Linked DNA regions of Mus musculus. The protein of the gene in region 6 interacts with the protein of the main gene of each other region in a biochemical or structural test. Links are inferred from orthologs where the notes say so. Each region holds a gene or a part of one and is shown on either strand. Other genes may lie near its edges. The genes, in order: Pten, Adrb2, Rps6ka1, Adrb1, Crhr1, Magi3 and Ctnnb1.

Region 1 (3,500 bases), on a different chromosome or scaffold from region 6:
ATATAGAGCTGTAAAGGCGGTATGGAGGCAATACGGAAAAGCTCTGCTCAGGAATCTCACTAGGTACTGACTTTTTGTCAGCTCTACTTTGCTTATTGATTAAACTGCTGTTGGGCTTTTAGTCGGACAACATTATGTTTGCATCTCTACGCTTAAAAAATATTGACTACTAAATTCTTTTTAATCTTTAAAAATTTCTAGTTACTTATTTATGTGCTGGGATTTAACACTATATGTTGAAGTTATATTAAAATAAAGCTCATGAGATTCATATGTATAAATTATAACTGCCATGTTCACAAAAGGTTTTGGAAACAATTTCATGAAGAAAGTCGGTCACTGGAGAACACATGCAGTTTGGATTGGCATTGAGTGTGAAGGAAATATTACAGGCAGTAGAAATAAGGTGACCGAAACACAGCAGAAGAACTGGACGAGAAATAGAAGATGTGATTGGCTGTCACAGGATCTTGAATGGGATGTAATAGACTTGGACTATTGGTGTCACGATAATTCTAGGAACTTCAGCTGTGTTTTAAGGACAGGCCCATGTTGTATAGACAGTTGTGATGTAGGAGGGGTAGTACAGCCAGCTCTGTGACTTGGCAGATGTTGCTAGAGCGATGGAATGTACTTTGTTTGGATTTTCTTTAGTTGTTCATACCCAGAGTGCATTTGAGATTTGGAGATATAAATATTATCACTTTGCTTTTAAGTTATTTTAAATCTGATGAGATCAAGGTACTTGTGAGGATCTGCAGTGGGGCTGCAGCTCTGTCTTGGTGGTGTAGTGTTTTTCTCAAGCTAGAGTGCAGGATTGCCTTCAGTCTCCAGCCCGAGGAGGAGGAGGCATGAGTGAAACAGACAGAACTAGTGATAAAAGGTTTAGTGTCTTCTGCAGAGGGACCAGGAAGTGTTTGCCAAGCGTTTGTCTTATTACCTTACTTTTTCTACGTGAAGAGAAGTTGCTGTATAATAAAAATGATCAGTTTGCTTTTGTGTCAGGATGCACTCTCATCCTTGTTTTTGTCAAGTCCAGATCCTGTCATTTCTTCAGAACATAGTTAATTAACATAGCATATATTTCAGATGTGCATCTCAGAAGTCAAGAGGACTGTACTAATATTAGAATATTGATGTTAGAACTTCCATCCCTCCTGCTGGGCGTGGTGGCACACACCTTTAATCCCAGCACTTGGGAGACAGAGGCAGGCGGATTTCTGAGTTCGAGGCCAGTCTGGTCTACAAAGTGAGTTCCAGGACAGCCAGAGCTATACAGAGAAATCCTGTCTCGAAAGACCACCAAAAACAAAAACAAAAAAGAAACAAACACACAAACAAAAAAAACAATTTCCAACTCAATGGGAAACTCATGGTCTATAGGAGGTCGTTTTGTCTCAGTGGTCTTAGAAAAAGCTGCTGTTTTTTCATTACTGTACACTACAGCTGGGGACATTGTCAAGGAAAGATGCCATGACAAGGCAATTCTTATAAAAGAGTTAATTGGGACTTGCTTACACTTTCAGAGGATTTGTCCATTATCAACCTATCAGGAAGCATGGTGGCACACAGGCAGATACGCTGAGAGTTCTACATCCAGAGGCTGGCAGCCTCTACCTCCTGAGTGCCAGCACTTTTAAAAGCACGGGCTACCATCACCCAGCTATACATGTTTTTTATTTTTTTAAACATATTATTTTTATTAATTCCTTGAGAATTTCAGATAAGCATTCAGTGTATCTTGATGTAACTCATTTCCTACTTCTCCCAACAGCCTTGTCTAGTTCCAGGACAGCCAGGGCTAACTAAACAAAGAAACTCTGTCTTAAAATGCCAAAACCAACAAACAAAAACTTGTGAACTGGAGGTCAAAAGAAAGATGATCAGTATTGTATATTTCTATATTATAAAGGCTTAGGTTTACATCGTTTATTAAAATATTCTTGTAAAGTTGCCTCTATGCAGTTCACAAAAGTCCCAGGAAATTGTTAAAGTTATTTTATGCTTAAAGTAGTTTGTGATGTGTCTTTTGCATGTTAATGTAAAGCTTTAATTGTTAATATGCTGCTAGAGTCTAGTCTTAGAACTTACTGTTTGTGAAGTAGCAATTGATTATCATATCTGTAATAGAACTTTACTTAAGGATTCAGATTGAAGAAGTCCTTACATGGGTTGGTTATGTTTTTACATATTTTATTTCTACTGATTTGTTTTAGATAAGCAGTCAATATGAAGAGTTATCATTTTGTGTATATTTCTGTTTATTTTATCATTAAAGTAGTTTTTGATAAGTTGAAGACATTTCTTGTGAAATGATCCTATATGTATTTAACCACACAGATCCTCAGTTTGTGGTCTGCCAGCTAAAGGTGAAGATATATTCCTCCAATTCAGGACCCACGCGGCGGGAGGACAAGTTCATGTACTTTGAGTTCCCTCAGCCATTGCCTGTGTGTGGTGATATCAAAGTAGAGTTCTTCCACAAACAGAACAAGATGCTCAAAAAGGTTTGCAATTCAGTTCTATTGTGTAGAAATAGCCATTCCTCAATGAGTAACCACAGACCTTTTGCTTAAAGCCTTTGGTTAGGAAATTATTCTGTAAGGAGAGACTATTTCTCTGCCATCTACCAAACTGATTACTCTTTTGTTAGATTGGCAGACTCTTCATTTCTGTGGCATTGATGAGACATGTAAGCAGACTCACCTGCCCCGACCCTTAGTTTGTTGGCTTTTTTGGTTTGTTCTATGTTCTTATGTTGCACAAGCCATGTTTTACCCATTTGGGTTTATGTTTCTTGAGAGTAGACTATTTTATATTTTGTTTCCCCAGGTTACTGAGTATTTAGTCAGTACTGAGTATTTAGTCAGTACTGAGTATTTAGTCAGTATTACTTAGTTGAAAGAAGTGGTTGTGAAGAAGTAATAGTAATTAAAAAAAAAAAAAAAAACATACCAAAAAACAAAAGGGTGGAAACAGCTAAGCATATCCTCTGTCCAGGGTTGCTGGGGCTTGAGATACACTTGGGAGGAGGAGAGAGCTCAGGTGCAGTGTCCTTGGTGTGAACATTTATCCTTGGTGGCTTTAGTACCCTTAGTTGAATGTGAACATTAAAATGAGTCTTAAGGTGTAGAAGTTTTAGCTGGATCAGAAGAAGATACCAGTTTTGTGCAGAATCAATTCCCGTGAAGCACATAGAGCAGTACATAGTCCGGAAGGGGGTTTTATAAAAAGCAGTAAAAGGAGAGCTTACTTACTATAAAACCTTGCAATGTCAGATCAATTTATCAGGAGAGATAATTTCTTTTTTCTAGGATCTACATAGCTAAAGAAGAAAAAAAATCACAAAGTTAACCAAATTAATGTTTTTATCATGGACCTCTCATGAAACAAAAAAGCTAAATATAAATATCTTTGAGTTACTGGTTTTTTTGTTTATTTTCTGAGACCACAATAAATGTGAGCAAACATTTCAAAAATTAGGTATTTGGAAGGCTTTA
Region 2 (4,267 bases), on a different chromosome or scaffold from region 6:
TTAGTCTTGTTCTGAATTTTTTTAATGGGAAGGAACAACTATCCTCAACTATCCTTTTTTTTCTGTAGTTTTAAAATGAACTCCACAAAACATGTTTTTAATATAGGGAATTATATGAAATTGTGGGGTGGGCAGCGAGGTTAAAGGCAGAAATAGCCCAATGGTGGCACATTCACTGACACAGCCTAAAAGATTAGCAAATTACCCAGCCAACACATACAATTAATACAATTAATATTTTTATAGTTAAAACAGAGTTACTAAAGAAATTGTTTGAAAAGAAAATTATGAAGACTGGAAAGACGGCTCAGTGCTTAAGAGCTTTGGCTAGTCTTCCAGAGAACCAGGGTTCAATTCCCAGCACTCACAAAGGCAGCTTGTGAGCTGATACTATCTGTATATTCAGTCCTAGGGAATCTGATGCTTTGTCCTGACCTCCAAAACAGGCACAAATGTGGTGCACAGACAAATGTAGAGATAAGACTCCCATGCACAGAACATAAATAATGTAGTTTAATTTTTTAAATTGTAAAACTGAAAATGGTTGCACTTGCATTTTTATTTTCAGCACATCCCCAGATATCCGCCATATAACAAGAAAATGATGCCACACTCCCAAGAATTAAGAATTACACCTTCCCAACCCTACCCAAATGTGTATACTTCTAGGTCTAAAGAAATGCGAAGGATGAAGTTACTGCCTTGGTGCGGTTCTCAAGGAGGGAGGATGCCAAAAAAATATTTTTTCACAAAGTGTGCTGAGAAACTCTGTAGCTGTTGGAGTCATCTCCTGTGCTCTTGCCAAATAACTGAAAGGGGATACACTGGATGTCTGTGAATGGGGTGTCACTTATGAGTGCTAGAAGCGGGTGGTACCTGGATGTGGACACCGGTGTCTGAGTGGTCCGCACTCCATGTCTCCACAGGAGCGCTTATGTGTGTTTCTTTCCTCCTGCTTCTGGGTGTTCCTGGGTTTGTTTACAGCCACCTCTCTGTTGGACCAGGAGACAGCTGTCATCTCCAGAATGAGCGGGCGCGGGTGTGTCTCCGTGGCTGTGGCTGTGGTTCGGCATAAGTCTGAGCATGTCCTGGTCGTCAGGGTGCGTTTGTGCCTGTGTGTGCGTGTCCGGGTGAGCTTGCTCTTTCTGTTCCTAAAAGAAAACGCACCCTGCGCTACTGGCGTCCAGAGACCTCTCAGCCCGCACAGGTGACCTGAACGGACAGGTAGCACCTCCAGACAGCGCCTGGTTGGCGGGTTGCACAGCAGCCCTAGATTTCTCTCTCTGGTGCCCCAGCTAGGGTAGCTGGAAGGGAGCGGTGGCCTGGCCTCCGGGGAGCCGCTGGGCCCCGCCCGGGCTAACCCCAGGAGGAGGCGGGCTAGGCTGGGAGGGTTGGCCCTTGGTGCCTCGCCCCTCCGGGCATCCGGCCGTGCCATTGGCCCAAAGTTGTTGCACGTCACTGGGCAATTCCCCTAAAGTCTGGTGCACATAACGGGCAGGGCGCACTGCAAGGCTGCTTCTCAGGCATTCAGGCTGCGGCTGCAGGCACCGCGAGCCCGGAGCACCCACGAGCTGAGTGTGCAGGACGCACCCCAGCACAGCCACCTACGGCCGCTGAATGAAGCTTCCAGGAGTCCGCCCCCGGCCGGCTGCGCCCCGTCGGAGGTGCACCCGCTGAGAGCGCCTGGGCACCGAAAGCCGGTGCGCTCACCTGCTAACCTGCCAGCCATGGGGCCACACGGGAACGACAGCGACTTCTTGCTGGCACCCAACGGAAGCCGAGCGCCAGACCACGACGTCACTCAGGAACGGGACGAAGCGTGGGTTGTGGGCATGGCCATCCTCATGTCGGTTATCGTCCTGGCCATCGTGTTTGGCAACGTGCTGGTCATCACAGCCATTGCCAAGTTCGAGCGACTACAAACCGTCACCAACTACTTCATAATCTCCTTGGCGTGTGCTGATCTAGTCATGGGCCTAGCGGTGGTGCCGTTTGGGGCCAGTCACATCCTTATGAAAATGTGGAATTTTGGCAACTTCTGGTGCGAGTTCTGGACTTCCATTGATGTGTTGTGCGTCACAGCCAGCATCGAGACCCTGTGCGTGATTGCAGTGGATCGCTATGTTGCTATCACATCGCCCTTCAAGTACCAGAGCCTGCTGACCAAGAATAAGGCCCGAGTGGTCATCCTGATGGTATGGATTGTATCTGGCCTTACCTCCTTTTTGCCTATCCAGATGCACTGGTACCGTGCCACCCACAAGAAAGCTATCGATTGTTACACCGAGGAGACTTGCTGTGACTTCTTCACGAACCAGGCCTACGCCATCGCGTCCTCGATTGTGTCTTTCTACGTGCCCCTGGTGGTGATGGTCTTTGTCTATTCCCGGGTCTTCCAGGTGGCCAAAAGGCAGCTGCAGAAGATAGACAAATCTGAAGGAAGATTCCACGCCCAAAACCTCAGCCAGGTGGAGCAGGATGGGCGGAGCGGCCACGGACTCCGAAGGTCCTCCAAGTTCTGCTTGAAAGAGCACAAAGCCCTCAAGACTTTAGGCATCATCATGGGCACATTCACCCTCTGCTGGCTGCCCTTCTTCATTGTCAATATCGTGCACGTTATCAGGGACAACCTCATCCCTAAGGAAGTTTACATCCTCCTTAACTGGTTGGGCTACGTCAACTCTGCCTTCAATCCTCTTATCTACTGTCGGAGTCCAGATTTCAGGATTGCCTTTCAAGAGCTTCTGTGCCTTCGCAGGTCTTCTTCGAAAACCTATGGGAACGGCTACTCTAGCAATAGCAACGGCAGAACGGACTACACAGGGGAGCCAAACACTTGTCAGCTGGGGCAGGAGAGAGAACAGGAACTGCTGTGTGAGGATCCCCCAGGCATGGAAGGCTTTGTGAACTGTCAAGGTACTGTGCCTAGCCTTAGCGTTGACTCCCAAGGAAGGAACTGTAGTACAAATGACTCGCCACTGTAATACAGGCTTTCTACTCTCTAAGACCCCTCCTTGACAGGACACTAACCAGACTATTTAACTTGAGTGTAATAACTTTAGAATAAAATTGTATAGAGATTTGCAGAAGGGGAGGCACATCCTTCTGCCTTTTTTTAAATTTTATTTTATTTTTTAAGCTGCAAACAAGAGAGAGAAACTGTATTTGAGTGCTTATTGTTTTCTTGTATAGTTCAGTTCCTCTTTGTATGGAACTTAAAGGTTTCTGTCTGAAGAGTGTTGGTTCTGGAGGACTGAGTCTGTCTGTCTGTCTGTCTGGATGATGTTTTCATGTATCTACCTCACTGGTCAAGTATTAAGAATGATATATATTGCTGCTGGAAATCCATATCTAAAGGAGAGAGTTTTCTTCCTGTACCCTTGGACTTGAAATATCCTGTGTCTTGGACCTTTCTGCTGTGACAATGGGCCCTTTCTCTCTCACTCCACTTATTTACTCAAATGGAGTGTTGCAGGCAGGGATTTGAGGGACAACATCAGTTGTTTTGTTTTTGTTTTTGTTTTTGTTTTTTTGTTTGTTTGGTTCGTTTTTGGTTTGTTGTTGTTTTTTGGGGTTTTGTTTTTGTTTTTGTTTTTTTGGGTTTTTTTTTTTTTTTTGCTGAGAAAAGTCTAAAGTTTACAGTAAATAAATTGTTTAACCATGACTTCATTGCACCCGTTTCTTCAAAACCTCTTGACTCTGGAGTGTCCTTGTCTCTCCCACTGGAAACCACAGGTAAACTATGTGTCGTGACCGATGAGTGGCTTAATGTGTAAGAGTACCAGAATGGCATGCACCGTGCCTAGCCCTTCCGTGTGTGTCTTCGGAGCTCCAGATGCAAACCTGTGCCTTCCCTAACTTCACTCGTGTCCCAAAGCAGTCCTGCCTGTTCACAGCATAACCCAGTATGTCCTACAGTTGCTCTTCTGTGCTGTCACTCCAGAAACCCTGACTCACGGAAACAGAGTTATGGGCATATGTTTTTGTCCCCATATGCTCCTGACACCCACCTTCCAGCCTTACTTGCTTAATAACTGTGTATATTTACATCACTGCCGTCTCTTACAGTAGTGCCCTTTGTACTGCATCAGGGCTTGGTGTGTTCAGGATGAGGAAGATGTTCTGTGTAATAGCTGTTCAAGCATCTAGAAATTCTGAGGGAAATCAAAGGCCTCGGTCAGAGAGAGAGAGAGAGCAAAGCTTTAAAAAACATAGCTGGTGAATGCTTCACGCCCTTCAGCCTCTCCTCGCTCCCGTCTGCTGTCCC
Region 3 (3,500 bases), on a different chromosome or scaffold from region 6:
TGCTAGCAGCCCCGACAGGAAGAGTAGAAGCTATGCTGCTCAGTGGATAACAGCAAGGGAGAGCAGCCTTCAAGGGCGTGAAGTCACCCCTCCAAGGGCATGTTAAGGGCTGCTCACCTTCTACCTCCCACAGCTGAGGCCACGGTTGGCAGGGGCCCCTCCCCCACCCTTCCTGCGTCCATCACAGGGCACAGGCACGGGCACTCACATTCCAGTCAATGGTGGAGTAGAAGATATGTCTCTTAATTTCCTCTGCCCCATCAGGGCCCGAGCCTGAAAGAAGCCAAATGAAGCCAACCTCAGACACCCATTCTGTCTTCCAGGCTCTGGACCAGCTGCTACCGTGGAGGGCAGCAGGGGTTCACCATGTCCTGCGTCAGTACCCACTACCCTGAAGCCTGGAGCCCGCTCAGTATTTCCTATGTTACGGAGCTTCTGCTGGTGTACTGAGGAAGGAGGGGCCAGGCAGGACGGGAAGCCTGTCCAAGCATTAATCCTGACAGAAGCTGGACTGACTTCTTTTGAGATCTAACAAGGGCCTTCATCCACTCCCGCCACAGGCCCCCCTCCTCTCTGCCCTTCTTTTCCTACTGCCTCTCGTCTTTATCCCTGAGACAAACGCTCATTCGATTCAACCCAGGGACCTGGACTGGACCTTAGCTGGTTGTGATCCAGATAAAGCCAGCATCCAAAAACCTCGGCAAATACTGTATACTTCACTGAACAACAGGAATGTCCTTCTCTCATCAAAGATCCCCGGGAGCCAGGGCAGAATCAGTGTCTCCACTGACACAGGAACCTGGGGCTCGGAAAGGTGGGGTCCCCTGCCATAGCGCAGGCTCATAAACCGTATTCAATCCCTCAGCAAATGTTTACAGTACTGCTGGGTGCCGGGCAGCGGGGACAGACACAGCTAGGCCTGAGACCTTTCTCGCTCCTAAGCTCCTGCGCCTTCCCTTGAGCCAGCAACCTTGGCAGAGAAGCTGTGTGGGGGCCTGTGTCCTTGTCCCTGAGGGGGTATGAATGACTCAGTTCCTGCCTTCCCCCCACACAGGTCACCCTCCCAGCACCATACATGGAACCAGAAAATAGGGTGGCCAGCAGCATTGTCTGCTCACACAAAGGACAACAGCTCCTTTCAGTCCTAGATGTGGCCCCGTGGCCTAGGCTGCAGCTGTACCCTGATCCTCACCGCCATGTCCCCTCCTCTGAGCTGGGGTTGCTTACCAAGCCGATTGGCAGGATTCCTCTTGAACAGGGCCCGCAGGAGGCTCTGGGCTTCCGTGCTCAGAAACTGGGGCATGCCTAGCTTCGCCCTGGAACAGCCACAGGTCTCATCAGGGCTGAGCCCCACCCAGGAGTCCCAGAGCCCCTTCCCTTTCTCTTTTCCAGCTCAGTCCAGAGAAGCCAGCCACTAACTCACCTCCCAGAGACATTAAGAACACTTCCCACTGGCCCTGGCAGACAGCAAGGGTCTGCAGACAGGGAAAAAGCAATTCACTGGCCCTGCAACTGGGGTGGGATTAGGGAGAACTTGGAGGGCCAGGCAGTGTTGGTGCTTACTTCAAAATCAAGGTCATGGTCTCCTTCCGGTCCTTCCCCTGGAAGGGCAGGGAGCCCGTCAGCATCTCAAACTTCGGGGGGAAAAGGAAACATATAGGTGTGGCCTTGTTCTCTGTCTCCCACACATCCCTCCCCCTCCTTCCCGGGCTACCCTGCTGCAGTCCGGGGATTCTTGCTGGCCTGTTAAGACTTTACAGTCTAAGTCTAGCTGCAGCAAGGCCTGTGCCTGCCTCTGCCCCCCTCCCAACCTAGAACCCAGGAGCAGCACTAAAGCCAGAGGAAGGAAGCAGAGGAGAGTTCCCAAGTTAGGTGAGGGGTGGTACTTCAGGCAGGTGGACTAAAGCCCGCGGCTCTTCGAGGGAAACAAAGTACAACAGTGTGCAGCAGAGCCCGGACACTCACCATCAGCACCCCATAGGACCACCAGTCTGCACTGTGGGTGTGACCCTGGCGGTTGACAACCTCGGGCGCCATGTACTCCACTGTCCCGCAGAAGGAGTAAGCCTTCTTCTCATGGTCTATGGCCTCCTTGCTCAGGCCAAAGTCTGCAGCATGGAGGGCAGAGAAGTCACTTCTAGGATCCCTGCCACGCCCACGGCTACCACACTTAGCTCCTCTGACCGGAGCCAGGTATCACCAAGGTTGTCAGTGAGAGCTCAGTCTGCTCTGAGACCTAGGGAGCCTCGAGAGATGGCTCAGCAGTTAAGAATATTGGCTGTTCTTCCAGACAACCCAGGTTCCATTCCCAGCTCCCACACGATGGTTAACAACCAGGTGCAGGCAACTCTAGCCTCTTTGGGCAACACATGCATGAGGTACAGATACAAATATAGGCAAAACTCCCATACACACACAAAAAATAACTAAGTAACAAGGCCTAGGTTTTTGGCATGTATGTAACTGGCATCGTCTCCCAGGAAACACAGCCATCAGCTGAGACCTATCAGACAGAGCCTGGTTATCCTCCCCAGAGCCCAAAGGAGCAGGTGCCCTTCACTCACCAGTGAGTTTGATGTGGCCCTCCTCATCCAAAAGGATACTGTAACAGAGAGACAGGAGTCAGGAATCCTTAGCTGCAGGCACTGTGCAGGTTCTAGCAGTAACCTTGGGGTGGAGAGACTTGGGCCTGACCAGAAGAAGGGTTTGGTCCAACTCTACTCAAGGAAAAGTGGAAGGATGGAAGCTCGGGAAAGTAACTCCTTTAGAATGGCTAGGGAACTTGTCTTTCTTTCAATTCTACTACATTGTACAGGCTGGCTTCGAACTCCTGGACTCGGCCTCTTTAGCAGCTGGTACTACAGTTGAGTACCGCAATGCCTGACTTGGGGTGTGTCTAACTCTACCACCAGAATCTATCCCAGCTCTCAACACAGCACCGGAAGGCAGTGCATGCGAAACCCCCAGGATAAGCGGATGGAGAGATGATCTTTAGAGCTGGGTGATAGTAACGCAGGCCTTTATTCCCAGCACTTGGGATTAAAGCACTTGTCTCGAAAAACCAAAAGGAAGGGGAATGGAGTAGGGCCACAGCTGGGCTGCAGCCTTTAGTAATAGCAGTACCGACCAGGCAATTCCTAATTACCTAAAGTGAACCTGCTGTTGGCCACAACCTGCGACAACCACCCATCCCTCTTGACAGCCCCAAAGAGAGATAAATTCCTGGGAGCGCCACAGCATCTCCCAAATGGCCCTGTTCTAAAAGGGCCCAAGAGCAGTCCCTGTGCCCAGGAGAGATCAGCAGTATGGCAGGGGCTTTGCTCACTTCTCAGGCTTGAGGTCTCTGTAAATAATGCCCAAGCTGTGCAGGTGGTCCAGGCCCAGTGCCAGCTCAGCCAGGTAAAACTTCACATCCTCCTCTGTAAACATGACCTGCAACAGGGAAAGACACACCCGTCAGCTGGCTTACCCCGTTCCCCAGGAGCTGGCCTACTGAGCAG
Region 4 (4,293 bases), on a different chromosome or scaffold from region 6:
CAGCTTGGCCACATGTTGATGTTCCTCCCAGATGCTAATCTTTTTATTCCAATGCAAGAAGGACTCGGGAGCATTACATAACATTATATAACACTACCGTGCACCCTTCCCTTCTGAGACAATTGGGAACTGTTCGCTTCTCAAGAACTTAATTACAGATTTCCTTTTTACGGCCTGAGGTAGAGGCATTCCCAGGGGTAGATCAGAGGACCTCAGCCCGAGGTCCCATCCTCTGTTCGCATCAGGAATGAAGCCAAAGACTCTAGTTTCGGATTCTCTCGACAATGTGAAGCGAGGAAATGTGGTATGACTTTAAATGCTTTCAGATTTAATCGCCTTGAGTATGTATATATTTTCTTCCCTCATCTTCCCAAAGCTAATCCCACAGTTTTGAGAATCTAGCCACCCTCCCAAGAAATCTGAAATCCCAGTTCATGACGTCAACCCAAAAGGGATAGCACCTTGTGTTGGCTCAGCTCAGATTGCAAAATCCCATGGGTAACGGAGCACAGATGCGGATGTTAAGGTGTTGGTACTGGAGTCAAAAAGTCTGAAGCGTCATTCTCCGTGTTCTTTCCACGAGGGGCGTGGGGGTGGGGCGACGTCATTTACCCTGGACTGAATGTTGCCCTAAACTTCTCCTTTATATTCAGAACTCTTTCATCCTTTTCTTTAGCTGGGACTGGGGCCTGTGTGTGTATCCGACTGGTCCTCGGTGTTGGCAGTTACATCCACAAACCTTCCCTTCCTTTCCCCATCTACTGCACTTGAAGGAGAGAGCACAGCTCCGCGCGAGAACAGCGCCCAGAGAGCCTTTCTGACAGATGCGTACCCTGCTCCAGCAACCCGCCTGGCTGCAAAGTTTCCTCTAATCACTAACACCCACTTCCTATTCCCCCAAGCTGTCATGCTGGCCAGGTCCCCTCGCGATCAGGGAAGAGCCAGGCTGCCTGATGGCAGAACCCCAGTCTCACAGCTAAATTCCTCCAATCCCAGCAGATAGGCTGTCCAAGGCACTCCTGCGTCTCCGAGACGCCTGTAAGGTTCTCTTATAGCTACCAGGAACCGGGCACTAGAGGCGAGGGAACTACGGGGTGCCGAAGGGAAATAAGGGCGCTCTTGCGGGAGCGGCAAAAGGAGAGCTGGGTGCTAAGGTTAACGGAGACTACTGGTTGGCGGGGGGCACAGGAGGCGGCGGGGCGCCGCAGGGGGCGCCGCAGACTAGACTCTGGAAGAAGCCTGAGCAGGAAAGGGCGCGCTCGCTGCAGCCCGTGGGTGCTGGCTGCGTAGTCCGCCCGCAATCTTTGGAGCCTTTCAATCGCGGGTAGGAGGGGGTGCTGGGTGTTGGGGGTGGGGGCACCATTGTCGGGGGCGTGCCTTGGCGGCGATTGGCTGCGGGAGCCTGACGCGCGGCCCCGGGGGCTGGCTGGGGGGGTGGCAGCGAAGGGGGGGGGGGAGGTGCTGGGTGTTGGAGCCGCCGGCCCCGCGCGCTCAGAAACATGCTGAGGTCCCGGCGGCTCTTCCAGCAGCGACAGCGGCTCCAGCAGCAGCGGCGGCGGCGGCGGCGGAGACAGCGCTCGGCTACGGAGGAGAAGGCGCCCGGCGTCCATGCCTCCGGCCCCGAGCCGCGGCTGCCCTGACCTGGCCGCGACCTCCCCGCGCGGGCCCCGCAGCCCCGGCTCCTGGGGTGCTCCCCAGGCGCGGCCCAGCCCCGCCACACCCCCCGCCCCCGGCCTCCGCAGCTCGGCATGGGCGCGGGGGCGCTCGCCCTGGGCGCCTCCGAACCCTGCAACCTGTCGTCCGCCGCGCCGCTGCCCGACGGTGCGGCCACCGCGGCGCGGCTGCTGGTGCTCGCGTCGCCTCCCGCCTCGCTGCTGCCTCCAGCCAGCGAGGGCTCAGCGCCGCTGTCGCAGCAGTGGACCGCGGGTATGGGCCTACTGCTGGCGCTCATCGTTCTGCTCATCGTGGTGGGTAACGTGCTGGTGATCGTGGCCATCGCCAAGACCCCGCGGCTGCAGACGCTCACCAACCTCTTCATCATGTCCCTGGCCAGCGCTGATCTGGTCATGGGATTGCTGGTGGTGCCTTTCGGGGCCACCATCGTGGTGTGGGGCCGCTGGGAGTACGGCTCCTTCTTCTGCGAGCTCTGGACTTCGGTAGATGTGCTGTGTGTGACGGCCAGCATTGAGACCCTGTGTGTCATCGCCCTGGACCGCTACCTCGCCATCACGTCGCCCTTTCGCTACCAGAGTTTGCTGACGCGCGCGCGAGCGCGGGCCCTCGTGTGCACAGTGTGGGCCATCTCGGCGTTGGTGTCCTTCCTGCCCATCCTCATGCACTGGTGGCGGGCCGAGAGCGACGAAGCGCGCCGCTGCTACAACGACCCCAAGTGCTGCGATTTCGTCACCAACAGGGCCTACGCCATCGCCTCGTCCGTCGTCTCCTTCTACGTGCCCCTGTGCATCATGGCCTTCGTGTACCTGCGGGTGTTCCGCGAGGCCCAAAAACAGGTAAAGAAGATCGACAGCTGCGAGCGCCGCTTCCTCGGCGGCCCAGCCCGGCCGCCCTCGCCTGAGCCCTCGCCGTCACCTGGGCCACCGCGCCCCGCAGACTCGCTGGCCAACGGGCGCTCCAGCAAGCGGCGGCCGTCGCGCCTCGTGGCTCTGCGCGAGCAGAAGGCGCTCAAGACACTGGGCATCATCATGGGTGTGTTCACGCTCTGCTGGCTGCCCTTCTTCCTGGCCAACGTGGTGAAGGCTTTCCACCGCGACCTGGTGCCGGATCGCCTCTTCGTCTTCTTCAACTGGCTGGGCTACGCCAACTCGGCCTTCAACCCCATCATCTACTGCCGCAGCCCCGACTTCCGCAAGGCTTTCCAGCGCCTGCTCTGCTGCGCGCGCCGGGCCGCCTGCAGACGCCGCGCAGCCCACGGGGACCGGCCGCGCGCCTCCGGCTGCCTGGCGAGAGCTGGGCCGCCGCCGTCCCCCGGAGCTCCCTCGGACGACGACGACGACGACGCCGGGACCACCCCACCGGCGCGCCTGCTGGAGCCCTGGACCGGCTGCAACGGCGGGACAACCACTGTGGACAGCGATTCGAGCCTGGACGAGCCGGGGCGCCAGGGCTTCTCCTCGGAGTCCAAGGTGTAGAGAGCCAGGCTCTCTGGGCGCACGGACGCCGCTCCCCATAGTCCCGGGCTGGACACGGGCTCTGCATCCCTAGAGGAAGAGAGCCCGCCTGGGCGCCCCTGAGCCGCTCCCCAGGGGAGAGAGGAGATCTCTGTTTACTCAAGACCGAAAGCAGGTGAATGCAAAGCCCACAGATCTATCGAATCATCCGAGACGTACAGAAAAGCCCCGGACCGAGCGTTTGCGCAAAAAGGAAAGTTTAGGAGGAGTTGGGAGAGTGTGGCTTAGTATGGCTTACTGGCTTGTCTTGAGTTCCTTTCTCTCTGAGGTTCGGCCTTTCGTGTGTTTAATGCACCTTCAGGCATTCCCCCCCCCCCCCGCCCCTAGGTGGGTTTTGACACTTTCTGCAAGGACCCGAGTGGAAACTAGGCGGGGAGGGGAGGGGGCAGGATGGAGTCTATCACCTGGCTTTCCGGTTCCACACCTAGGAACCTAAGTATTCAGCTCAGGTTTGGTGTGGGGGCGGGGCCGGTGATAATTAGCCAGGAAGTGTTTCCCTTTGCTTTCTAAAGAAATTGCATACTAATTCCGGAGTACTGGTGTCTCCTGTTCTTAAAGCAAAGGGAAAAGAAGGATGCGAAACAGACAAATCTGGTTTCGAGAAACTATGTGTGGAGCACGGTTCACCTTGCTTTCTCCTAGAGGGCAAACCTTGTGCCCTGCGCGCCTCGGTGGTCCTGCTGTGGGTCCTCTACCTCACTCTGTGCATATTGCACAGCAAGATAGAAAGACTTGTTTATATTAAACAGCTTATTTATGTATCAATACTAGTTGGAAGGACCAGGCGCTGAGTCTCTCTCTGTGACATGTGACTCTGTCAACTAAAGATAGGACAGAACAAAAAGGAAACAGTTGAGATTATTGCACATGTGGCTAAAAACAAAGACGGCAAAAAAAAAAAAAAAAGGCAGTGGTTGGAAGGCCATTTTGCACAGTGTTAGGCATTGTAAAATTCATAGAAGTTGTTAACTTGCACAAAAAAAATTAAATATTTTTACTGGGATGGGGAGGTGGGCAGATCTTTAAAAAGCTAAAATAAAATTCAAACTCAGTTTCTCTTGTCTATTATGTTATTGAGTTGATGGTTTATTGGGAAGTTACTTTT
Region 5 (4,300 bases), on a different chromosome or scaffold from region 6:
GAACTGAAGACTTCAGGACTTTGCTTCACTGAACTGTGCATGCACAATGGCTAAGCCAATGTGACCAGTGGGTTTAATCAATGATCCGCCCGACTCTGCACCCCTACCCCATCCGAGCCAAGACCGCCAGGGACACTGAGTTGGGAATTAGGAAGGAGGGTGCCAACTGTGGGGATTTGGACAATCCACGCTCCCCTGTGCCTCAGTTTCCTCACTAGTAAACTGTCACATGACCTACAGCAACTCCAGCTCCAAAATGACTATTGCCTGGGCCTCTAAGCTGTGGATCTTGTCCAGTGTGCTGAGAACACAATGTAAGGAAGGGGAGTTGCACAAAGTAGTGTCCAGAGTCGCCAAGCTCCGCTACATTTTAAAATAAGCTGGTTCCCCCACTAGGACCTTGCCTCTCTCTTTGTGCTTCTGTGTACTCAAGATGGAGACCCGGACCTGAGAGGTGAAGATGTTTCTACCCCGACACTCCTTTTCTCCTTCTCTATCTCTCGCTGGGGAAGGAAAGGGGGATGGGGGAAGGAAATCAAAAGAACAATCCACCTAACTGGCCTGAAGGTGGCGAGAGCTGGTTTTAAGGCTGGAAGTGGAATTAGAAAGCCAACCTAGACGAAGACCCGGAGGTCTGGCGGGACAGCCCGCTCCAGCCCCGAGAGCTTGGCCAAGAGGGGGCGCTGTGGCCCCCTCCACGCCCTTCGGGCTGGATTCCCAGCTGCGTCCACAGCGTTGCGGCGCAATGCGCGCCCTGCTTTCCCCTCCTTACAGACTAGGTGCCCAGTCCGCTGTCACCACTTATCTTGGGGCCTGGACCAAAAAGACAGACGTTCAGTTCCAAAAACGAATGAATGAATGAGTGAACGAACGAACGAAGGATTCAAAAAGGAAGGGTTCCCGCCGCAGAGCATCAGTGTCCCAGCACATCCTAGGTGTGTTTAGGCCAAAGGCGCGCGGATCGGGAGGGGGATTCGGGCCCGGCCTCCCCTCCCCACTAAATTGGGGGCGGAGGTGAACCTCCTGGATGGCTGCAGGGCGGGAACCACCCAAATGTAGTTCTCAGCTTCTTTTTCCACGCAGGCTGAGTTTTGTGGAAATCGCCCTATTCCCCAGCGCCTACTAGCCTTCTAAATCCCGCCCCCCGAGCCCCACAAGTACCCCGGGATCCCCCGGACTCTTTTGGTCCGGACATCCAGCCTCACAGGAGGCTAGAGAAGAAAGGCTGCCTGCTCTCCAGCAGCCGCCTCCCGGATCCCCGGTTTTTCCCTAGCTGCGGTGGCAGCCGCCGCCGCCTGTGCGCCCCGCGCACTGCCGCAAGCCGGGGTGCGGGGAGAGGGGGTTCAGCACGGCCAGGGTGCGGGGATCCGGGCCGGGGTTGGGCAGTGGACCGAGGAGACCGGAGCCTGCAGCCAGCGGAGGGGCGAGGAGCGGAGGAGGGACAGGAGGGGAGCGGAGGGAGAAAGAGGAGGGGACACGAGGCGAGGGGGCGGGGAGCAGAGGCGAGAGGCAGGCGGACCGTGGGGGAGGCGACCGGGCTAGGCGGGATCCAGGCAGGAGAGAGGTAGCTGTGGGCCCAGCTGAGTGGGGAGAAGGCGACCAGACTTGCTCGCGCAGGGCGAGCCAGAGCCTGCCGGTGGGGCGGGGCGGGAGGGTGCGAAGCCGGGCGCCTGGGAGCAGCTCAGCGACCCGGGAGACTGGCCGCCCAACGGAGACCGCAGCCGCCCGCTCTTCGCTCTGGGATGTCGGAGCGATCCTGGCATCCAGGACGCTGACAGAGCGAGCCCGAGGATGGGACAGCGCCCGCAGCTCCGGCTCGTGAAGGTAAGAGAGGACCGACCTCCGGGTAATCAGAGGCGCTCCGGGCCGAACGAGCGCGGGACAGGCGTGGGCAGGGGTGCCGGAGGAGAGGATCGGGGAACCCGGCGCCACCCGGGAGGTTGGGGTTCAACCTGACGTCCTCTACCTGGACCTCTAAAGCCGGGCTTCGGAGACAGAGGGACAACTCTGGTGGAAAAAGAATGGGTGATGGTGAAACCGCTGCGGCGCCAGAGGAGGAGGGGGTCCGCCCACTCGAAGAACCGGCTTTGCGCGAAGAATCGCTGCAATCTTTGGGGCCGAAGCGCCATCCCCCTTAAGGCTCTGGATGGGATCCTGTCCCTGCTGGACACCCTCCGAGCCGGCCCTGTCCCGGTCTCAGGCGCTCTTTCCTGCCGGTTTTCCTCCGTAGAAAGCTTCAGATTCCGGAGATAGATGCGGCCCGCGAGTCGCGGCCCTTCATCGACTTAGCATCTCTGAGAGGCGATGGTGCGCGCACCCCAGTGTCCGGCCGATCCTCCGGGGTGCCACAGCCCCCCGGAGCGCAACGCATTCTCTCACTGGGCTCGCTCCTGCCACCGGGCTGGAGAAGCGGAGTTTCAGAAAGTCTTCAGAAGGCGTTTACAGTGCCTACTGGCTAAAGTTGGGGGCGATCTGGGGCTGCGCGGGGGTGGACAGAGCCCGGGAAGAGCTAGGTGCTTCGCAGCCAGGCCCGCAGCCTAAGGACAGGCGCCACTTCGCCGGCGCGTCCCGGAGCGCGCGCGCTCACTGGGTACCAGCACCTCAGCCCTGGTGCTGGAGAAGGTGAGTGGGCCTGGCGCTGCCGCCCGGCAGCCCCAATTGCCATGCCTGGGTCTCCGGACCGCTCAGGGCTGACATGGACCTCCTGAACCACAAGCCGAAGCACCGGGTTAACTGTGGCCAGGAAAGGCGATTGCGTTCAAAAGATCTAAGTGGTTGGGAGGAGCAGTGCGAATTGACTGGCTTTGATTTTTCCGTCAGTTATTAAGCCGACTGCTTTTACTTGTTCGAAAAGCATTTGAGTTAAACCACCACGCGTTTAAAATGTCCCCCCTCTCCACATACTCAAAGGTTGTCTTCAAATCTAAGGGAGTCTCAGTGAACCTAAGGGCTGGAGCCAGAGATTATTTTTGGGGTGACCAAAGTCTTCTACAAAGAAGTTAGGGAGACTCTTGGAGGTTGTATAGATAAGCAGCAATGGAGGTCTTTTCCCAAGGATTCCTGTGTACTGAGCCTTGATCTAAATTCACAGGGGTTAAAAATGAAGCCTCTTAAGCAAATTCAAAAATTTGGGCTGTGGATATTTTTTTTTTCAAGTTTACATGGAAATCAATGAAGGTTCTTTCTGAGGCCATTCTTAGAACCGTGTGAAATGACCTGTTTGGCATGTTCACAGTTTCTTAAGATAAAAGGTACTTTTTTTTCCTCTTGTTCCTACTGGCTAGTGGGAGTTGGGGGACTTGTCTTACATGATACATTCAGCGTGTGCCCAGGAAATGGGGAGTGAGAGTCGGTGACTGTGATATTTGTGTGGTCTGTACACATTTCCCAGTGTTAGTCTCGTTGCTTTATAAATATTAAGTCATGTAGTCGTCATAATAGTCCAAGAAGTAAGAATTATATCCTAGGCATAGAGGATTGAGCCTACTTGTTCAGAAAGCGGCACCATGAGCTTGTCAGTCAGCAAGCCTGACCGTGCCCTTAGCGCCTGCACACAGATTTCAAACCCAGTACTCCAAGCCTAAGACTCTGTTTTGTTAAATTCAAACTTAAATCTCATGCTTAGTGCCTACCAGCTGAGAATCTGAGCGTTTCATCAGTTTGAACATATGAATCTAGGGAACTTGGAGATCGTGCAAAAACCAGCTCTTTCACTGATGATTGGCAGGCAAGCTATGCTTGGAAAAGGGTCACTCGGGGGCTATAGTGTGCATTTCTCATTGAACTTGTTATAGAACATTGTGGGAGAGTGCAAGAAAGATGAGGAGTGTGTGTGCATGGGTGTGGAGTGTGTGTGTGTGTGTGTGTGTGTGTGTGTGTGTGTGTGTGTGTGGTGTTTATGGATAAGTATAGAGAGGAGAGTTAGTCCCTCTTCTTATGACCCATCCACTAACTGCTCTTCCTAGGGACATATCTAATGCTCTGGTGATAGGTAATTCTGGATAGTGACTGTGTGGAGTGAACTAGGCCCCTGTGTCTTCTTAAAGGACAATGAGTGTCCAGTGACTTCCAGGGAGGCCAGTTTTATTGCTGCTGTTATTGTTTATAGCAATTTAGAAGCATTAGGCAAAGTCTAAAGCAGAGGAGAAAATGGCTGTGACTTCCCTCTTTACACGGTGCTGTGACAAGTTGAATAACGATCCCTGCAGGTCCCATGTTTAAGAACAGGTCTGGGCATTGCTGTGACCATCAGACAGCTCTCTCCCTTGCTGTGTCAGAGCCCCAGTCTTGTCCCATGCCA
Region 6 (3,500 bases):
TTGTAGACATTTTATGAATGGTAGTAAGCTACCATGTGGGTGCTAGGAATTGAACCTGGGTCTTGAGCAAGAGAAGCAATTGCTTTTAACTGCTGAGCCATCTCCCCAGCCCTGGGAAGGCCTTTTTAAAAGAAGGGCACTATTTAAAAAATTATTAGGAAACCCCCAAACCTATCTGTGACTAGATAGCAATTTGTACTCTGCATTTTCCCTTAACTTTTCCTTAAGTATATGTTAATTTTTCTACATTTAGTTAACTGAGAATTTACAGTAAAATGTAGTTCTGTTGATACTATCATTCCCTAAAACACATGTACTTGTTTCTATTTTGGGTGATCCAAATCCTTGATAGTGTGACTACTGAGCTTTAAAACGGGAAAATAGCTGGGTATGGTACTGTCTGTCTTTAATTCCAGAAGAGGCACTGGCAGATAAATCTCTGTGGTTTGAGAATAGCCTGGGTATACAAGTGAGTTCCAACACAGCCAAGGCTACACAGTGAGTTTCTGTCTATACAATATGATAAAATGGGGAAAAATTGAGATTATGGTACATCTTTTCCCCCAGCCAAACTCTGCTTACAGTATTAAGTGTTTTGCTCGGAAGATAATGAATTAGCTTTTCCCTTGCATCTTCATATGCAGGTCAGAGAATTGACAGAAAGTCTACTTTGTTTTCATTCAAATCTCTGTACCCATCTATATGGCAACCCCCTTCAAATATGTGTTTGAAAACCAAGAAATAATTGAGTTTGACTTTTTGAATATTGATAATTGTACTTATAGTCAAACATACACAGATTTCACTGTAATGTTTTCTCCTTCTAACATGTGGATTTAGAGTATACTATTTATTTCTAGATTTGTCTTAGTGTTATGTAGCCTAACATGATTTTTTTCTATCTAGGGAAAAATGACCAATTTTTTAAAAATTTCCATTATGTCAATCTGTATCTTAATTATCTCTTTTAGAACTGAACAGTTTGATTAAAAGTGTGATATTTTATAAGCACAATAATAAAAGGTGAAAATGTTTTATTCTTAAATTAGATTTAGCTTTTTATAACAGTAACATAATAATTGATATAAAGTCGAAAGGAGTGGGAACAGTGATTGTTGAGACAGCTAGACTCCTGAACACTTTCCCATGGTGCCTGCCTGCTCAGTACAAGCTGCATAACAAACTGAAGGTTATTTCATTTGTTTTTATTCTTACCTTGACCAAGTACTGGTACTGGAAAAATCAAAGATCCTCAGAAAAACACATTAAACTATCGCTTGCTTTTCTGAGTGTATACTAGTATAGAACTTGATATATAATGGCTCTTCAATAAATTGTCAGGTAATATAATTCAAGTGTGCAGAAAGCTTTTTAAAATTACACAACAGCTTATATTCCTATATGAAATAGTTCTTAGCCTTTGTATATATCCTCATTTTAGTAAAATAATTCATTTTATACATTAGAATAAAATTATTTCATTTTATATACCTTTTGTGTCTTTCATTATTTCATAAGAGAATCAATGCTTTTATATTTCCAAATTCAGCCCTAATTCAGAAACTTTATAAAACAAAATTAAAATATGAGCAGTTTTAGTATGATAGCTAACGTATGACAAGATATGAGAAATTAGTCATACAGAATGCTTTGTTTGGCCTTTTAGTCAGTGACAGAGGCATTCTTTAAGCTTGGTCAGCATTCGTACTTTCAGCTGCCATCATTTTGTACACCACAGGAAATTTCTATGGCACACCCAAGCCTCCAGCAGAGCCTAGTCCTTTCCAGCCCGATCCAGTTGATCAGGTCCTCTTTGACAATGAGTTTGACACAGAATCCCAAAGAAAAAGAACCACATCTGTCAGCAAGATGGAAAGGATGGACAGCTCTCTCCCTGAAGAAGAAGAAGATGAGGACAAAGAAGCTGTTAATGGCAGCGGAAGCATGGGTTTGTAAACATATTAACAACTTCTGATTGGTCTTAGATTGGCTTTAATCTTGAATTGAAATCCTAAAGATTTTCTTGAACTATATGCAGAGCAGGTGCTAGGATTCTAATTCTCTATGAAAGCTGTGTGGAACAATGTATATTTCTGTGGGTCATCTTGTAAACTAATATAAGTTAGCAATAGTAAGCTGTCATTAATGATGTGGCATCACCTTATCTGAAATACTTGTAATGCTGGGATACGGGAATCTTTCTGGCATAGTTCTACTTCCCAGGATTAAAACAAAATTGGTTTTTTAATACAGCCTTCAACCCAAAGCACATAGACTTTGGAGGTATGTCAGAAGAAATTATCTGAAAAGTTCATTAGCAATATTTTTAATTTAAATTCTGGATCTACTCAAAGATAATTTGCAAATAAAATTGATATTTTTTGTATCTTTTGCTTAACTTTCATATTTCTCACTGAATTAAAATAAAAATGTGAGGGTGAAGAATCTACTCTGAGTGTCCCTGAATAAATTTGTAATGTCCAGGAGGTCCTTACATTTAATTGAGAGAGGACTGGGAAGCCAGACCTTAAAAAGATGGACATTAGTGTTATTTTTGTAGCCATTTTCTTTGGAATACTAGTATGTGAATTCTCTGAATACTGGAATTTTGGGGAGGTTAAGTTTTCATCACTGTATCTACTACACCAAGAACAGTACCTGGCATATAGAAGGAAGTAAATGTTTATCCTGTCTTTGGATTTGCAGCCTATCTCTATATGATCCCAAAACATTTTCAATTTCCCTCATCACTTATTAAAATTTCCCTTGTATATACCTATTGCCTTATATGATCATTGTTTATTTCCCCCTACAGATAGCGAGATCCGGCTATTGTTTTAACTTCTCAGTACTTATGTTTAGTGTTAAATGAGTTAGCCAGTGTATTTAGGTGTCAAGACAAAAATTGTTTTTTAAAAGGTTTAGTCATTTGGAATTACATCAAGAAAATAGTATATATAGATCATTTAGTTGGTGTCTTAGGGTTTCTATTCCTGCACAAACATCATGACCAAAAAGCAAGTTGGGGAGGAAAAGGTTTATTCAGCTTACACCTCCACATTGCTGTTCATCACCAAAGGAAGTCAGGACTGGAACTCGAGCAGGTCAGAAAGCAGGAGCTGATGCAGAGGCCATGGAGGGATGTTCTTTACTGGCTTGCTTTCTTATAGAATCAAGACTACCAGCCCAGAAATGGTCCCACCCACAAGGGGTGGGACTAATGGAGCAAATGCCTTACAGCTGTATCTCATGGAGGCATTTCCCCAACTGAAGCTCCTTTCTCTGTGATAACTCCAGCTGTGTCCAGTTGACACAAAACCAGCCGGTACAGTTGGTATGGCTTTTGTCTGGGCTACTTTTTTATTTTCCCCAGATGTAACTCACTTCCAGATTGACGTCTACATTGGATACCTTTACATCTTTATTACATATTCTGCAAGGAAAATAAACTAGGAATTTTATTCATTTGTTCATTTAACAAATAGTTATTGAACGTCTGG
Region 7 (3,500 bases), on a different chromosome or scaffold from region 6:
GCTCATACTGACCCTCACCTGCTCTCCTTGGCTGCCTTTCTAACAGTATTTCAATGGGTCATTGTCGTAGATGGCTTCTTCAGGTAGCATTTTCAGTTCACTAACATACTCTGTTTTTACAGCTGACCTGATGGAGTTGGACATGGCCATGGAGCCGGACAGAAAAGCTGCTGTCAGCCACTGGCAGCAGCAGTCTTACTTGGATTCTGGAATCCATTCTGGTGCCACCACCACAGCTCCTTCCCTGAGTGGCAAGGGCAACCCTGAGGAAGAAGATGTTGACACCTCCCAAGTCCTTTATGAATGGGAGCAAGGCTTTTCCCAGTCCTTCACGCAAGAGCAAGTAGCTGGTAAAGCATTTGTGTTTGGAAGCTAGCATTAAGTTTCTTGACAGGGCTGTGTGACAGCTCAGCCACAGCACAAGTGGGTTGAAGGAAGGGCGGAGGGTAGCGGAGTCCCACATGCCTAGTGAGTGTTGGATTTACCTTTTTCAGATATTGACGGGCAGTATGCAATGACTAGGGCTCAGAGGGTCCGAGCTGCCATGTTCCCTGAGACGCTAGATGAGGGCATGCAGATCCCATCCACGCAGTTTGACGCTGCTCATCCCACTAATGTCCAGCGCTTGGCTGAACCATCACAGATGTTGAAACATGCAGTTGTCAATTTGATTAACTATCAGGATGACGCGGAACTTGCCACACGTGCAATTCCTGAGCTGACAAAACTGCTAAACGATGAGGACCAGGTAAGCAGTGATGTAACTTGCTTTTCAGTTTACTTTGAGGGAAGTTCTCAAGGGGATGCCAATGGCTGCCTCACACTAAGTTTTGGAAACTAATGGTGCCTCTTCATCCTTTATTCTAGGTGGTAGTTAATAAAGCTGCTGTTATGGTCCATCAGCTTTCCAAAAAGGAAGCTTCCAGACATGCCATCATGCGCTCCCCTCAGATGGTGTCTGCCATTGTACGCACCATGCAGAATACAAATGATGTAGAGACAGCTCGTTGTACTGCTGGGACTCTGCACAACCTTTCTCACCACCGCGAGGGCTTGCTGGCCATCTTTAAGTCTGGTGGCATCCCAGCGCTGGTGAAAATGCTTGGGTAAGAGAATGGCCAGGGAACTTGAAGGGTAGGAAGTAGAAGGGTGCTGGCATGGCTAACAAAGGCTCTCCTCTTCCCAGGTCACCAGTGGATTCTGTACTGTTCTACGCCATCACGACACTGCATAATCTCCTGCTCCATCAGGAAGGAGCTAAAATGGCAGTGCGCCTAGCTGGTGGACTGCAGAAAATGGTTGCTTTGCTCAACAAAACAAACGTGAAATTCTTGGCTATTACAACAGACTGCCTTCAGATCTTAGCTTATGGCAATCAAGAGAGCAAGGTAGAGTGATGAAAGTTGTTTGTACAGAGTGTGGAGTTACTAAGTTCTTAGTATGCATGTGCGCGCGCGCGCGCACACACACACAGGCTCAAAGATTTGTGTCTTTAGACATTGAATCTGTGTGTACAGTACGGTGCTAAGCATTGAAGGGATGGGGAGCAGGCCTCATAAGTTTACACTTGGGCAGAGAGGAGGGGCTGGATAGACAGAGGACATGGTGTTTTGAGGTCTTGTGGCAATCTTTGAGAAGAAGTGAGGTGTTACCTAGGAGGAGGCAGTGAGAGGATGCCGTCCACAGTCCCGAGGAGGAAGAGGGATGGTGTGCTGGAGACACAGTGTTAGAGTTGGGCTAAGGCTGGGCCGGGTGGATCCTGTGAGGCTTTCTTTGTTGGCCATACCAAAGTCCAGGAGATAAGATCTTAAACACAGGCATGGGGTGAGACCTGCCTATGGAAATGTTCAAGGACCTTAAGGGTGAGGGAGTGGATATTCTGCAGTGTCTCCTAAGGCAAGTAACATAGAAGCTCAGAGTCAGAAGCTAGGGGCTCTTAGTGCCCATTTTCAACTGGCTGTTTCGACAGAACTTTGATCACTTCTACAAGCAACCCTGCTTGCTTTTCATGGTGTTTTCCTCTGTGTTTATTGTGGAGAGGTAGCCAGAGTTTTGTTTTATTTTTTAGTGATTTTTTTTCATACATTGTTGTTTCGCCTGCATGTATGTCTGTATGTCTGAGGGTGTTAGTTCCACTGGGACTGGATTTGCAGACAGTTATGAGCTGCTGCTGAGACTTGAACCTGGGTCTGCTGGAAGAGTAGCCAGCACTCTTTAACAGCTGAGCCATCGCTCTAGCTCGAGGTGGTGTATTCTTGAGAAAGGTGGTGTGCCTGGATTTGAGCAGAATTGTAGCACAGGAGTCACATACCTGGGACCCCACTTGGAGACTGTGGATCAGAAGGGTCCAGAGAGATACATTTAATTGCAAGCTGGCTAAAGTTCTTACATGTCCGGTAACTCAGTGATGAATGGCACTGTTCTCTAGCCTCATGACTTACAGTTCCATCTCTCTCTAGCTCATCATTCTGGCCAGTGGTGGACCCCAAGCCTTAGTAAACATAATGAGGACCTACACTTATGAGAAGCTTCTGTGGACCACAAGCAGAGTGCTGAAGGTGCTGTCTGTCTGCTCTAGCAACAAGCCGGCCATTGTAGAAGCTGGTGAGTACACACATTCTGAGATCACTCACAGTACTTGTTTGCTTGCCCCATGTTACTTAAATTTTTTTGTCAGAGACAACAAAAACACCCTGCTCCATAAAGCTTGTTTCTGACTTTGATTCTGGTAAAGGTGAGGCTGGGCCTCACTAGCAGCCCTGTGAATCTAGACAACAGCTTAGTACCAGAGAAGTGGTTTCGTTTGGTTTGAGGTTTGTTGTTAAGGTGTTCTCCCCAGTGATAGAAGAGAAAATACATGGTTTATGTCCAGGCTTCCTTTCAGTAAGCAACTAATATCTGCCTAGGCTTCAGAACCAAGTAGAAGCGGAAAATGATGAAGGCATCATGTAGAGGACGGTGCTGAGGGTGAGACACAGGGTTGTAGCAACCAACCATCTTTGGGCCGTTGGGAACACTTCAGGTTACTGAGGTAGTTGCTAACAGAAACCATGGGCCTGAGAGAGACACATGGTGGCTTGTTTAAATGTAAAGTTTATAGATTGATAAAGTCCATAGGTAGCCGGGATAGTTGGAAATGGATGTGTGTGGATGCCCGAGGTCATTCTGATATGGATGTGTTTATCTTGAATATATATACTTGAAGCAGTGTAATTGATACCATTACCATGCATCCGTCTGTAGAGCAGTGGGGAACTGGTTCCTACTGTGTCTTGTGAAGATGAGCACAACACACAAAGGCAGGTGCTGAGCTCAGTGCATAGGCCTGGAGCCCCAGCCTTAAGCAGGGGCAGAGTCGAGGTCTGGGACTTCCTGGGTATTAGCAAGGCCTTGTCTCAGAATAGAACAGAGGAATGTTACGACAGGAGTGGACAGCACAAAACAATGACAGCTACTGAGGAGGCCGTCCCAGAAAAGGAGTGCTGCATAGCACTTCGGGG

What was found.
Region 1: the proteins of Magi3 (region 6) and Pten form a complex in vitro, tested with the Homo sapiens proteins (2 studies listed by BioGRID and IntAct, with this or other methods). The link is inferred for Mus musculus from reciprocal best matches to the Homo sapiens genes MAGI3 and PTEN.
Region 2: the proteins of Magi3 (region 6) and Adrb2 form a complex in vitro, tested with the Homo sapiens proteins (2 studies listed by IntAct, with this or other methods). The link is inferred for Mus musculus from reciprocal best matches to the Homo sapiens genes MAGI3 and ADRB2.
Region 3: the proteins of Magi3 (region 6) and Rps6ka1 interact in a test that uses a peptide from one of them, tested with the Homo sapiens proteins (2 studies listed by BioGRID and IntAct). The link is inferred for Mus musculus from reciprocal best matches to the Homo sapiens genes MAGI3 and RPS6KA1.
Region 4: the proteins of Magi3 (region 6) and Adrb1 interact in a test that uses a peptide from one of them, tested with the Homo sapiens proteins (2 studies listed by IntAct, with this or other methods). The link is inferred for Mus musculus from reciprocal best matches to the Homo sapiens genes MAGI3 and ADRB1.
Region 5: the proteins of Magi3 (region 6) and Crhr1 form a complex in vitro, tested with the Homo sapiens proteins (2 studies listed by BioGRID and IntAct, with this or other methods). The link is inferred for Mus musculus from reciprocal best matches to the Homo sapiens genes MAGI3 and CRHR1.
Region 7: the proteins of Magi3 (region 6) and Ctnnb1 form a complex in vitro, tested with the Homo sapiens proteins (2 studies listed by BioGRID and IntAct, with this or other methods). The link is inferred for Mus musculus from reciprocal best matches to the Homo sapiens genes MAGI3 and CTNNB1.

Annotation. Positions count from the first base shown.
Region 1 is NC_000085.6:32,813,077-32,816,576, forward strand, and holds part of Pten (phosphatidylinositol 3,4,5-trisphosphate 3-phosphatase and dual-specificity protein phosphatase PTEN), read left to right. Parts: intron 1-2,340; coding exon 2,341-2,507; intron 2,508-3,500. UniProt on the Homo sapiens protein: Dual-specificity protein phosphatase, dephosphorylating tyrosine-, serine- and threonine-phosphorylated proteins.
Region 2 is NC_000084.6:62,177,213-62,181,479, reverse strand, and holds Adrb2 (beta-2 adrenergic receptor), read left to right. Parts: upstream 1-1,498; 5' UTR 1,499-1,727; coding exon 1,728-2,984; 3' UTR 2,985-3,767; downstream 3,768-4,267. Other genes in the region: Gm9949 (uncharacterized protein LOC225609), read right to left, coding at 877-1,435. UniProt on the Homo sapiens protein: Beta-adrenergic receptors mediate the catecholamine-induced activation of adenylate cyclase through the action of G proteins. The beta-2-adrenergic receptor binds epinephrine with an approximately 30-fold greater affinity than it does norepinephrine.
Region 3 is NC_000070.6:133,863,798-133,867,297, forward strand, and holds part of Rps6ka1 (ribosomal protein S6 kinase alpha-1), read right to left. Parts: intron 3,433-3,500; coding exon 3,326-3,432; intron 2,603-3,325; coding exon 2,565-2,602; intron 2,109-2,564; coding exon 1,966-2,108; intron 1,635-1,965; coding exon 1,564-1,634; intron 1,317-1,563; coding exon 1,228-1,316; intron 274-1,227; coding exon 209-273; intron 1-208. UniProt on the Homo sapiens protein: Serine/threonine-protein kinase that acts downstream of ERK (MAPK1/ERK2 and MAPK3/ERK1) signaling and mediates mitogenic and stress-induced activation of the transcription factors CREB1, ETV1/ER81 and NR4A1/NUR77, regulates translation through RPS6 and EIF4B phosphorylation, and mediates cellular proliferation, survival, and differentiation by modulating mTOR signaling and repressing pro-apoptotic function of BAD and DAPK1.
Region 4 is NC_000085.6:56,720,624-56,724,916, forward strand, and holds the start of Adrb1 (beta-1 adrenergic receptor), read left to right. Parts: upstream 1-1,493; 5' UTR 1,494-1,748; coding exon 1,749-3,149; 3' UTR 3,150-4,293. UniProt on the Homo sapiens protein: Beta-adrenergic receptors mediate the catecholamine-induced activation of adenylate cyclase through the action of G proteins. This receptor binds epinephrine and norepinephrine with approximately equal affinity.
Region 5 is NC_000077.6:104,131,281-104,135,580, forward strand, and holds the start of Crhr1 (corticotropin-releasing factor receptor 1 isoform 1 precursor), read left to right. Parts: upstream 1-1,500; 5' UTR 1,501-1,791; coding exon 1,792-1,824; intron 1,825-4,300.
Region 6 is NC_000069.6:104,087,907-104,091,406, reverse strand, and holds part of Magi3 (membrane-associated guanylate kinase, WW and PDZ domain-containing protein 3), read left to right. Parts: intron 1-1,738; coding exon 1,739-1,948; intron 1,949-3,500.
Region 7 is NC_000075.6:120,950,400-120,953,899, forward strand, and holds part of Ctnnb1 (catenin beta-1), read left to right. Parts: intron 1-122; coding exon 123-350; intron 351-494; coding exon 495-748; intron 749-867; coding exon 868-1,106; intron 1,107-1,186; coding exon 1,187-1,388; intron 1,389-2,459; coding exon 2,460-2,604; intron 2,605-3,500. UniProt on the Homo sapiens protein: Key downstream component of the canonical Wnt signaling pathway.